3 linked regions of the Rattus norvegicus genome follow. The protein of the gene in region 1 interacts with the protein of each later gene in a pairwise test. Links are inferred from orthologs where the notes say so. Each region holds a gene or a part of one and is shown in the gene's direction. Other genes may lie near its edges. The genes, in order: C5h1orf94, Plekhb2 and Rbm47.

The links.
Region 2: the proteins of C5h1orf94 (region 1) and Plekhb2 interact in binary tests that used the Homo sapiens proteins (3 or more experiments, as listed by UniProt). The two-hybrid records come from large-scale screens. The link is inferred for Rattus norvegicus from reciprocal best matches to the Homo sapiens genes C1orf94 and PLEKHB2.
Region 3: the proteins of C5h1orf94 (region 1) and Rbm47 interact in binary tests that used the Homo sapiens proteins (3 or more experiments, as listed by UniProt). The two-hybrid records come from large-scale screens. The link is inferred for Rattus norvegicus from reciprocal best matches to the Homo sapiens genes C1orf94 and RBM47.

Annotation. Positions count from the first base shown.
Region 1 is NC_086023.1:145,607,466-145,611,153, reverse strand, and holds the start of C5h1orf94 (uncharacterized protein C1orf94 homolog), read left to right. Parts: upstream 1-859; 5' UTR 860-1,006; coding exon 1,007-1,320; intron 1,321-3,688.
Region 2 is NC_086027.1:44,544,276-44,548,025, forward strand, and holds the start of Plekhb2 (pleckstrin homology domain-containing family B member 2), read left to right. Parts: upstream 1-1,197; 5' UTR 1,198-1,293; intron 1,294-2,301; exon of another isoform or gene 2,302-2,460; intron 2,461-3,750. UniProt on the Homo sapiens protein: Involved in retrograde transport of recycling endosomes.
Region 3 is NC_086032.1:42,514,667-42,518,416, forward strand, and holds the start of Rbm47 (RNA-binding protein 47), read left to right. Parts: upstream 1-954; 5' UTR 955-1,071; intron 1,072-3,750. UniProt on the Homo sapiens protein: Single-stranded RNA-binding protein that functions in a variety of RNA processes, including alternative splicing, RNA stabilization, and RNA editing. Functions as an enzyme-substrate adapter for the cytidine deaminase APOBEC1.

The DNA of each region.
Region 1 (3,688 bases):
ATGTAGTGGTGGGATGGGAACAGTGTTTCACTTTGACTTACTTCTAAGAGGAAGCTCCCTGGGGTCTTTCCAGTCCCACCCCGCCCCCATTCCACCTGCGAGTCTCAGGGACGAACGCCCGGCCCGTGCCCCACCCCCGCGCACCCAGCCGTTGCGCTTGAACCCACTGAAAGAATCCCAGCTCTCGACGGCAGGGGTGTGGGAGCTACTGACACGCAAATCCGCTGACCCCGCCCGGGCCTGCCCTGCCCAATCGGCGGCCTTTTAAGGGTTGGGATCCTCTGCGGTGCGGGTCGCAGCTCTGCGCGGGGGACGCGACAAGTGTCCGCTGAGGACCTGGGCCAGGCCGACTACCGGCACAATACCGCATTGGACATTTCTTTTTTAGGGAGGCAGAGCAGCTGCAGCAGAGAGAGAAGGGGAAGCAGAAGGGGGCGACCGGGAGAGCTAAAGCCAGGACCTGCAGTAGGCGGGTGGGGGGCCCTCTGTGTACGCGGGATCCTTTGGGAAGGTGGGAGGAGACAGTCCCATGGCCGGCACCCACCCAGTCTAGTACAGTGCTCGGCCTTTACCCTGCCCTTCTGGTGACTTGGCAGGAGAGAATGGGCTGAGTCCCAGACCCTGAAAAGTCTCACAGGGGTGTCGTAACGGGGGAGTGCCGGGTCCTGTGGGGAGAGCCAGTCCTCCCCTCTAGTCGTTCCCAGATGTCATTCTGCCCGCCCAGGCGCTTGGTTCCTGAGTTCCGGGGCATTCCACGGTTACTAAGTTACTGGTTTTTGTTGACTTTTAAATATTTTCTTCTACGGGAGAGGGGGAGGGGGGCAAAAGCCAGGAAAGAGCAAATAAAAAGAAGTCAACATAAGCCCCCCCTCCCCAAAAGAAAGTTGCCCTCTACTCCTCATCCTCACCCAAACCGAAGGCCTCTGAAACCCATCCCTTGGCTGGAGCAACAGCCAGCCAGAACTGACTACTTCCCAGGTCCAGTCTTCAGCTCCCTTTCTGGTGAATGAGGGCTGGTGGAGGACAGTCCCTTTGTCTCCCAGCCCTGGGCGGACAAAGGGGCTTCCGAAAAGAGAGAAAGAGGATGGCCAGTGGAAATGGGCTCCCTCCATCCTCAGCCCTGGTGGCCAAGCGTCCCTCCGCCCTGGGGCCATTCCCCAGATATGTCTGGATCCACCAGGACACACCCCAGGATAGCCTAGACAAGATTTGCCATGACATCTGGAAGAGAGTTCAGGGCTTGCCTGAGTCCCTGCAGCCCAGGACCTCTCTGGAGAAGCTCTCTGCCCCGGTGACAGCCGCTGTCAGCTTCCAAGACGAGTGAGTAATCCCCTATTTGGTTGATTATCAAAGGCGGGGGGAATGAAGTCTGACTTTAGGTCGAAATGCTCTGGGCCAGTGTTAAGTCCTACACACATCTCTCCCCCAAGCCTCAACCCTCAACCCCGTTTCTGTAATCTGAAAAATCTTTCGGTTGGAGGAGCTGGCCAAGGTCCTGAAGTCCCAGATGCAAGGAAAGAAGCCATTTCTGGCAGCTTCTTTTCCAGTGACTAAGGAGAAGTTTCTTATTTTAAAGACATAGGTGGCTATGATGTAGATCTGGGGTCCCTGAAGATCTAAGGGTTAGGTGACTCATGACTGTCCCCAGAAGCAACTAGATGATCTTTTCCCCTATCCCAAGAAAAGTCCAGGCATTGGCACAGATGATTCTGGTGGTTGGAAACCACATCTGGAATCCCCTAATACAGAGAGCAGCTGTCCCATTCAGCATCCACAGAGCTACTGCAAGAGCGCACATCAAAATATTTACTGGGAAGGCATTGACATATTCAGAGGACATAATAGAAAATTAAAGTGTGGGAAGATGGCTGTAAATAGCCGGTTTCCCGGATGGGAAATCCCCTGTCGGGGAAGCACAGAGCTAAGTGTTTCAGTGCTAGGGAAAAGTTGAGGGGATAGCGTTGGGGCTGGCTATTGGAAAGAAGAGGAAGGAGCAGAGAGGAAGACAGGGATCTCATTAGGAAAAGGACTGCATCAGCTGTGGTGATTAATGCCACTGCAGAGTACTCTTTCAGGGTTCTGCATCTCCAAAGTGGGCTGCTCGCATTAATTAATCCTCCCGGCATCCCTATGAAACAGGTATTAGTGTCCCCATTTTACAGATGGATTAAGTGTTAATAATTAAGTGCTAATTAAAGCCTAAGTGATAATTAAATGTTGTCTGCCCCCAACACATGCTCCAACTCAGTTCATAGATGCTCCGGAGTGTGTGTGTAGGGGGCGGGGTGCATCCCGGCATTCATCAGCCGCCTCTGGTTTCAGGGCTCTCTAAGCATAGCTGAGGTGAAAAGCAATGTAGTGCTGCAGTCCCTATGCAAGCTCCTTTGCTTGCTGGAGATGAAGGCGGGAGGCATGCTGGCTGCTTCTACCTCCCCTGCCCTGTGCTCAGCAGGACCAGGCTCCGATGCAAACGGCCTTGCTCCATCCAGAATCCTGTGGCGAGTCCGTTCAGTGGCTCTGAGCTCCTTTGCCTCACCCATTGCCATCTGCTCCAGGACAAGCACCTTGGCACGGGGAACCTTGGGGCTGCACTCAGCTCTCTCAGTGGCCAAGTAGCTGATTGTCCACTTTCGGGATCAAAGGTCAGCAGCAATTTCCAGTAGATAGCCCCTTCCCTGCCAGGTCACACTGAATTCGTGGAGACAGACTCTACTTCCAGTCTGCAGTTGGCCGGAAATTGAACCGGCCTACCTTTGGCTCATTACTTCACTCCATTTGGCCTTGATTTCCTCATCTGCAAATTAAGGACGACGTGCCCTGCCTTGTCCACCTCAGAGTCGATAACGAGGGTCCAATGTGATGGGAAACTAAGAAAATGAAAGATGCATTATACAAACAAGGCCGCCTTAATATGTAGCTCGTCGAGTTTGGGGGAGGGGAGGCTTCACAGCTCCATGATCCAAGGAGCCTTCAGACAGCCATCCTGGAGTCAAGTGGGCTCCTACACACACACTCTACACACATACACACACCACACACACACTACCCACACACACTACACACACATACACACTACACACACATACACACTACACACACATACACACTACACACACATACACACTACACACACACTACACACACATACACACACTACACACACACCACACACACACACTTCAGCCTGAGCTCTTCAGGTGTTGGTCCGCTTTACTCACTGGAGTTCTGAGTACAGTTGCGATTGAAGGAGTTCTGAGGCTGAGAGGAGACCTGGGAATCTGCTGACTTAGATGAATAAGCCTCATCCTAACTGTATAGCTGTCCGCCCAGCAGAACACAATGAGCGAGGCAGCGAGCGCCGGAGTTGGATAACCAGGTTCGGCAGTGTGTGTGCCTCTGTAGAACCTGTGACTGCGAGGCTGATCTGAGCTTTGGTTTCCTCACTGCCATGGGGGAGTGACGGTAGGGGTCGCTGGAGGTGACAAATCAGGACTATTCAATGGTCCTGCTGGTAATTAGGATTGATAAACTCGTTCTAAGGACAGCAGTTATAATTTCTGTAAACCCTGCAGTCTTTGCATGAGGCAGTGAAGGTCCAAGTGTGTGTAGATGTAAATTTCCATAATTATCAAACTGTGCTGTTCTGGTTTAAATTGCTCCTCTCCCCCCCCACCCCTTTAAATGAAAT
Region 2 (3,750 bases), on another chromosome or scaffold:
CATTGATGTAGGCGAGCATAGGGCTACCTGATGACCTGCAGACACCTCCCTTCAGTCTCCTTCCCGTGGGGCAACACCCATCTCTCCTGTAGGTAATTTGATGTTAGGCATTTTCTGGTAGAAGGGCAGATGTGGCAGACACACCAGTCCATCTTAAACCACCACTGGGTATACGTGTATGTTTTCCCTTGAAGTGAAATATTAGCGGAAATCTGCTTACTGTTTCAGGTACAAACATGAGAGGGGCACATGCATAAAGCTATAGGATGCACAACCCACCAATCCAAGATGATCCAAAGCTACTTAACATCCTGTAGATCAGGGTAGAGGGTCTACCTAATTTCTCCCTAGGGGATCTGCTCCTCCCTCTATTTGAACTCATAAAACGATCGCTACAAAAGGTCACGGGGGTCTTGAGTCTTACGCTTGCTCAGGCAATTCCCATTCTGGGGAGTGTATTCCATGCTTTTTCTTTCCAAATAAATGTACACTTGGACGACTTCTATTCTGTGCCTTGTCCAATTCATTGTTTGAGACACTAAGAACTTAGAAAAAAAAATGAGACACACAAGGCACTATAATTAAAAGTTTTTTTTTTTTTTTTAAATTTGAAACAGGAGCTTGTGAAATTCTAGAGTGGTCTTGAGCTCACTGTGTAGCTAAAGATGCCCTACTTCATATCTTCTTACCACATCTCTCAAGTGCTGAGATTACGGTTGTGTACCACCTCGCTATCTGTTTTGTGTTTTTGAGACCATGGCTATGTAGCCCAGGCTGGCCTCAAACTTATCCTCCTGATTCAGCCTCCTCAGTTCTGGGATTATAGTCCTGTACTAACAGCCCGGGCTCCTTCCTCCTCTATTTGTTCTAAGCTATAACATTTCTACGTGAGCTATTGCTAATAGTTCCAGTTTTGTTCCTTGCTTGCCGATTCAGTTTTGACATCTCCATCTTCCTGTTTTTAAGCATGAAGTTCTTCATTTCTGGTTCAGAGATGTCCCCAGGCTCATCTTGTATTGTCCTAGTCCGGCTGTCGTGCACCTCTCTAGGAAGGCCTGTCTTTAAACGCCAAGATCAAGATACTTAAACCACCTTTGAACAGATAACAGCCCAGGTTAAGTTCAACTCCTTGGCTCGGGCTCTGGGCCCGGGCGGCACCTGCCTCGCGCGCATGCGCCTGGGCGCGAGGTGGTGACGCAGGACCTGGACTCGCGCGTCCAGCGGAGAAGCAGGAGAAGCCGGCGACCTTGCACTCTCAGCCTGATCCCTGTCTGGCGGCCAGAACATTCGCAGGTGACTGTGCCCGCGGTGTCCCCCTGCGCCCGCGTGCGACCCCTTCCCAGGACCTCCTCGGTCCGAGTACCCTGTTCGGCCCTGCTCACGCCCCTCCGAGGGTAACCCGCTTCGCCAACGCCCCCTCTCCAAGCCTGGCTCTGAGGAACGCCAGCCTTACTGGCCGCGCCTATTTCCTCAGCCCCTTGTCACCTCTTACTCCGTGACTCCCCCGCCCCCCAGCCCCTATTCCTTCCCGCTTACCTAATGTTCCTCCCCAGCTCTTGCCTTCCTTTTCTAGAGTGCCTCCATTCTGACCCACACCCCTCCCTCGTCCCTAATGTCTGCTGTTCTGATCGTACCGTCCCTCCTCTCCAGCTTCTGCCTCTCTCCCAGTATCCATCCTCATTGTATTACCCCAGCCACTCTCTCTGCCTCCTCCCCACTCCCCCGGTGTCCTAATTCTTAATTGTATCCTACCCCGACCCCCAGCTCATGGCTCTTCTTCCCCAGTGTCCTATCCTGACTGTGTTCTCTTCCTCTTCCCGTGTCCTCCCCCTTCCCAATGTCCCCCATCCTGATTGTATCCCTCCCCTGCCCCCAGCTACTGCGTTCCCCTGTGTCCCCATCCTGATTGTATTCCCCTCCAGCTCCTGATTCCTCCCCTGTCGCTTGTGTCCCACATTCTGGTTGTATTTCCCCCTGCTAGTCTCTGTCTCTTCCCCACTTCCTGATCTATCCGCCTAGCTCTTCATAGTCTTCCTTAGGGTCTAGCCCAGCGTCCCTCCCCTTTTCCCTGGGACCTTGCAGGTATTCCCCAGTGTTCCCCACCATAATCTTATCTTCTTCTGACCCAGTAACCAGTCCTTGTACCCCTACCCTTTCCTCAAGGTCCTTTCTGGGTTCCCTAAGACCCACTTCTTGATGTATCCTCCCCAGCACTGCGCATCCCTTTCCCAGTGTCCCCTGTCCTAATGGTATCTTCCGTAGAGCCGCCTAGTCCTGACTCTCCCTCCTCTTCTCCACCTCCCTCGGGTGAGGTGGTGGGGGCTCTTCTGATGATAGGACCAGTCTGATAGCTCCTGTGACTTCACAGGGGACTGCTACTGCCTTGCTAAGACCCCCGGCTTCCTTCTTCCTGGGCTTGCCCTGCTCTGGTGGGCCTTTCTGTTCCTCTGCACTTTCATGGTCTGTATTATAATGCCTTTTGTTTCGGGTGTTTGATTGTACAAACCCTGACTCCCTTTTGTTACATTTTTATTGTTATGCAATAACAATAGTTAGATGGAGGTCAGGGGTTTCCATGCTGGGTAAGCATAATTTGTTGTGTCCAACTCTCAGGGGCAGAGTGACTTGGGCAGAGAGTTCATGAAGGAGTGGAGTAATTGCCAGTGTTTTAGAAAGTCACGGGTTCTAGACAGACTACGTGGCTCATTCAGAGCACACTGACTAATTCCCCCCCGCCCCCACCCCCATGTGTGTTCATCTGACTAGAATAGGTTGAAGAATCCATGCAGGAAGTGACTTGTCCCTCTTTACAGGAAGTGGCAGGGTGGCAGCTGGGATTTATTGCCTACTTTCTTAGGGCAATGAATGTCACTGAAGGAGTATTGACCAAACATGGCTGTGTGTCCACCAGCCTGTGCTGTGGGCTTGCCTTCAGGAGTGAGCCATGTAGCTAGGATTAACCGTTGCCTCTGGCTCCTTCCTTAGGATGCTTAGACTGTTTTGTGGGCCCAGAAGTTTTGACTTTGGGTGGTCAGCAGGATATAATTAGGACAGATGGCTTGAGACTCTAGCCCGGCAGGTTCTTGCCTGAGTTTATCTGGTGTCCATGGTGTTTATTCTCTGTGCGAGTGATTTTCCACCGATCTTCCTCAGGGCATGAACCAAAACTGGGTTATGGTGTTTTCCTGTCAGACACACAGTAGGTGTTCGGTAAATTAAGAGTGTGAGCACATTATTTTTGTAAGTAAATTTCTGGATAATAAAGACTGAATCTATGAAATCAGTTTCTCTCATTATGTCTGTCTTGTCTGCCTGTCCCAATCCCTTTCTATCTCCTATCTCTCTAGCTGGAACCTGACCCTTTAAGTTGTAGTTTATGCAGAGAGCCAGTGATCTGAGAGGGAGGCGCATTCGCACCTTTGAACACCCTTTTGTAAGTCAGCTGCAGCCAGAGGTGTCACAAGGAAGGGGAAACAGAGGCAGCCTACCATGCCAGCCGCTTAGTCCCTGAGGTCTACGGTGTCTGTCACCTCTCCTTACCATCCACATGGTTGCATTGGTTGCATTGCAGGCTCTCTGTTTAACTTGGTTTGGACACTCTTAAGGATGCTGAGTCCTGCGTGCCTCCCTGTGCCGCCTGGACCAGGGGTTAACTCAGAACCGCAAACCTTGAATAGGGTGTGTGTGCAGATTCCTTTCTGTGACACAGACAACCAGTGTGGCCCTGTGCCCTCTAAATATGGAGTAGAT
Region 3 (3,750 bases), on another chromosome or scaffold:
ACCCCTAGCACTTAAGAGGCAGAGGCAGGAGAATTACCAGTTTCAGGCCATTCTGGGGTATATAGCATGTCTGTGTCTCAGGCCAGGACATGGTCATGAAGGCGTTGGGAATCTAATCTTCCACCCCACACTCTAGTGCTGCACTCATGGCACCATAGTGGATGTAAGAAATTTGGACGCACAAGCCATTTGGCTCTCCAGGTCTGTTGATAGTTGTAAAGACTGGGTAGAGTGTGTCCCCAGATATCTCACATGTCTGTGTTCGTGTCTTGAACATTTTAATTTGATTTTGCATTCCTTTCATTTGAATATTTTATACTAGTAGGATTTCTAACACTAACTTAAGATCTGAACTGATACTTTTCATTTTTTCATAATCCTCTCCCTGAAAAAAAAAAAAAAACCCTCAAGAAATCTTGACTGTGACTTTAGGGCCGAGGCAGTCACTCTCAAGCCAACTCTGATTAATTGCAGGTGGATTGCTCAGCCTTGTCCCTGTGGCCTTGGGGACAGGCTGTGGATGAGGTCAGGCACTAGTAATGATTTGTTAGTGATGTGTAACATAACTCCACAAGCCATGTAGGAGACCTCGAGCTAGATATTTTTATCTCGGTATATAAGGAGGTAGGTCTTTTTGTGAGTCTCTGGACTACAACTGTAATTTTCCTAAGCAGTATGCACATCTCTAAGTCATGGCTGCTCTAAAGGTCAAACCACACCAAATGAAAGAGAATGCTCCTGTTCCTGTCTCATTTCCCCATTTCTTCAAGGATAAGATAATGAGTTACGTTTCTTGCTTTCTAGAGGACATAAGAATAATGGTTTCTTGAGTAATCGGAGTAAAGATAGTTCATTTTGGGAAGAAAACATCCTCAATTTCTAGGCCCGTGTGAAACTTATGTTGAAATGAAGAAAATCAAAACATTCCTAACATTTTCTTCACTGCTTTAGGGTTTGCCTCAAAGAATACTTCAAGAACTGAACAGAGAAATCCCAAGTGAGCTGCCTGAATCTTCGCGAATTCTCTTGTTCTACCTTCCATAGAAAGACCAATCAAATTGCTGACTTTTGGTGAGTGCACCTCCTAGAATCCTTTTCTTCCCTATTTAAGTAAGAACATAATTCCCCTTCCTATCCAACAGGACACCTGTGAGGTGATGTATACCTTGGTGTTTACATGGTGAATTAGTGGAATGTTACACGGGACAATGAGTTTCTTTGAAACTGCACTATAAATCCTTATTTATCTGTGCATATCACATCTGAGTGGCTTGAAAGGACACATCTCTTCCTGTAGAAAGAGACTGGAGTAACCTGGACTGCTCACAGTCTACCTGTGACATCTCAAACAACATTAGTCTGCCTGTCTGCCTGTCTGTCTGTCTGTCTGTCTGTCTTTCTTTCTTCCTTCCTTCCTTTCTTTCTTTCTTTCTTTCTTTCTTTCTTTCTCCCTTCCTTCCTTCCTTTCTTGTTTTGTCTATTGGGTTTTTTAAATTTTATTCAATATATCCTGATCACTGTCCCCCTCCCACAACCTCTCCCCCTCATTGTTATGTTTTTAAGAAAGAGTCTCTTGTAGTCCAAGGTAGCTTTGAACTTTTGATCTTCCCACCTCCGTCCAGCAAATGCTAAGATTATGGGTAGGCACCACCACAACCTGTAGTCATCAGTATTTTGACATTTTTCAATGCCTGGTACGCAAGGAAGGGTCTCTGTACAAGACAGACAGAAGATTTGGTATGATGGTATTTGATTTGGGAGCTGTCCCCATAGCTTCTGCAAATTGGCCTTCTTGCTTGTTATTTAAAGCAGAAGTAGCTGTCACTTCAGACTTTCCGATGCATGACCCTTTGTCCTTTCTTTCATAACCAGCTTGCTTCACAAAGCACGTCTTCAGGGTTCATTTGTAGGGCTGAATAATATTCCATTGTAAGACATGGACCAGGTTTTGTTAATTCTTATCCATCAGCAGACATCAGGGTATTCCCTGGTTTTGGCTACTGTGAATAATATGCCCAAGAACACCTGAGTCCTGCTTTTATTTTAGATTTACATCCAGCAGTAGGAGTTGGTAAATCAAAGTATTTACAGGCTTTCTTTCTTTTTTTCCCTGAAGTATCAGCAGATTGTTTTCCACCCTAATTTTTTACACTGTTGCCATCACTGTACAAAGAGTCTACCTAACTGGCCACAGTATAGGGGCTTGTCTTGACAATCGACATTATAATAAGGGTAAAGTGGCATATCGGCTTTTTTCTGGCCCCTAAGGATTAACGATGCTTGTATCTTGAAGAAATGTGTGTTCAAGGCATCCACCCATGTTAATCAAGTTGCTGCCTGCTTTACAGCTGAGTCCGTGATTGTTTCTGGATTCTGGGCATTGGTTCTTTATCTTAAGTGAAGGCATAGCCCAGGCAGAAGTTAATAAGATGCCACAGATGCGTTCAGCCTTCGTCTGCATCGTTTCTTGCAGACTAAAGTTGTTTGTCCCACAGGTAGTCGAGAGAAAGTTTGGGGAAACAGATACAGCTCATGTAACTAGCATACAGTAGTGAAATCTGTTAGTCTTTTGGCTTCATGAAATCCCAACACAAGAACACCAGAAGCTGATAGTATTTTAAGCTTGCCTGTGCACATCTGTGTGCATGTCTGTTATAAGGATATTTATTTGGAAACCGAGGGAACGAGAGAGGACATGCTCACTGTGGTTGGGAGTGGGGAGTTTTAGGTAGATGACTGCACCATTCACAGAAAAGTCAATTGTTCCTCATGCCACATCGGAGAAACTAAGCTAGCCTACCCACAGTACCAGGGGTTTTTCCAGAAGTTTCCCTAGTGCTGCTTTTTTGTTTTTTTGTGGACAGAGCCTATGTATGATTCCAATATAAAATATGAAATCTTTCCAGCCCCTTTCCTGGCAGACTTGTGAGAAGGAGGAAGAAACTCCTGGCTGTGTTTGCTGCCCCTCCTAGTACCAAAGGTCTACAGTGAGCTGGCCGCTCTCTGTCGGGCCTGAGATAACAGCAGGGCTGCATTTATGCTACCATAGTTACAGGATTTTCTGTCAGAACAAGATTCAGTTAGACTTTCAACATCAGAACACTCGGCGTGGGGAGTCAGTGTCCAAATTCCAGATCAGTTAGTGCTCAATCTGTTAACATAATCTTCAGGACAGAGTTTACCAGGTCCGCCCCTCCCCTGCTTTACACCGGGTTTGGTTTATAAGGAGAAACTCTGTTGGCCATTGTGGGCCACTCTCATTCTAGCTTTACCATAAGTGGGGATTTGGGGAAAAGTAGAAATGACTAAGTGAATCACATTTTCTGATATTAGATGGCACTCGATAACCTATACTTTCTAAAAATAATTTGTGAGGTTCGAGTAGTGCATTTCCCTTGATGGTCTCTTCACATTCAGTCACCTTGCTGTCCATGTGAGCTTGAGAATAGTTAGCTCACTTCCAGGCTGTTTTTATTCATGCATCAGGGCTCAACTGAAATATTAACTCCACATGTGCATGGTGAACGCAGAGAGAATAAGAGAAATGACATCAATTCAACCCCACCACCCATTTCCATCCCTGACGGATGACCTATTTCTTGATATTTTCTGTTTACTTGCACCATTCTACTGGGTACATTTCATGAACTTCTTTAATATTGTTTTGCTTTCTTGAACTGTTAACATAGTCAGTTGTCAATCCAAGCAACTACTGCCTAGCCAAGCTGTAGAGGCTCTCATTAGCCCTCT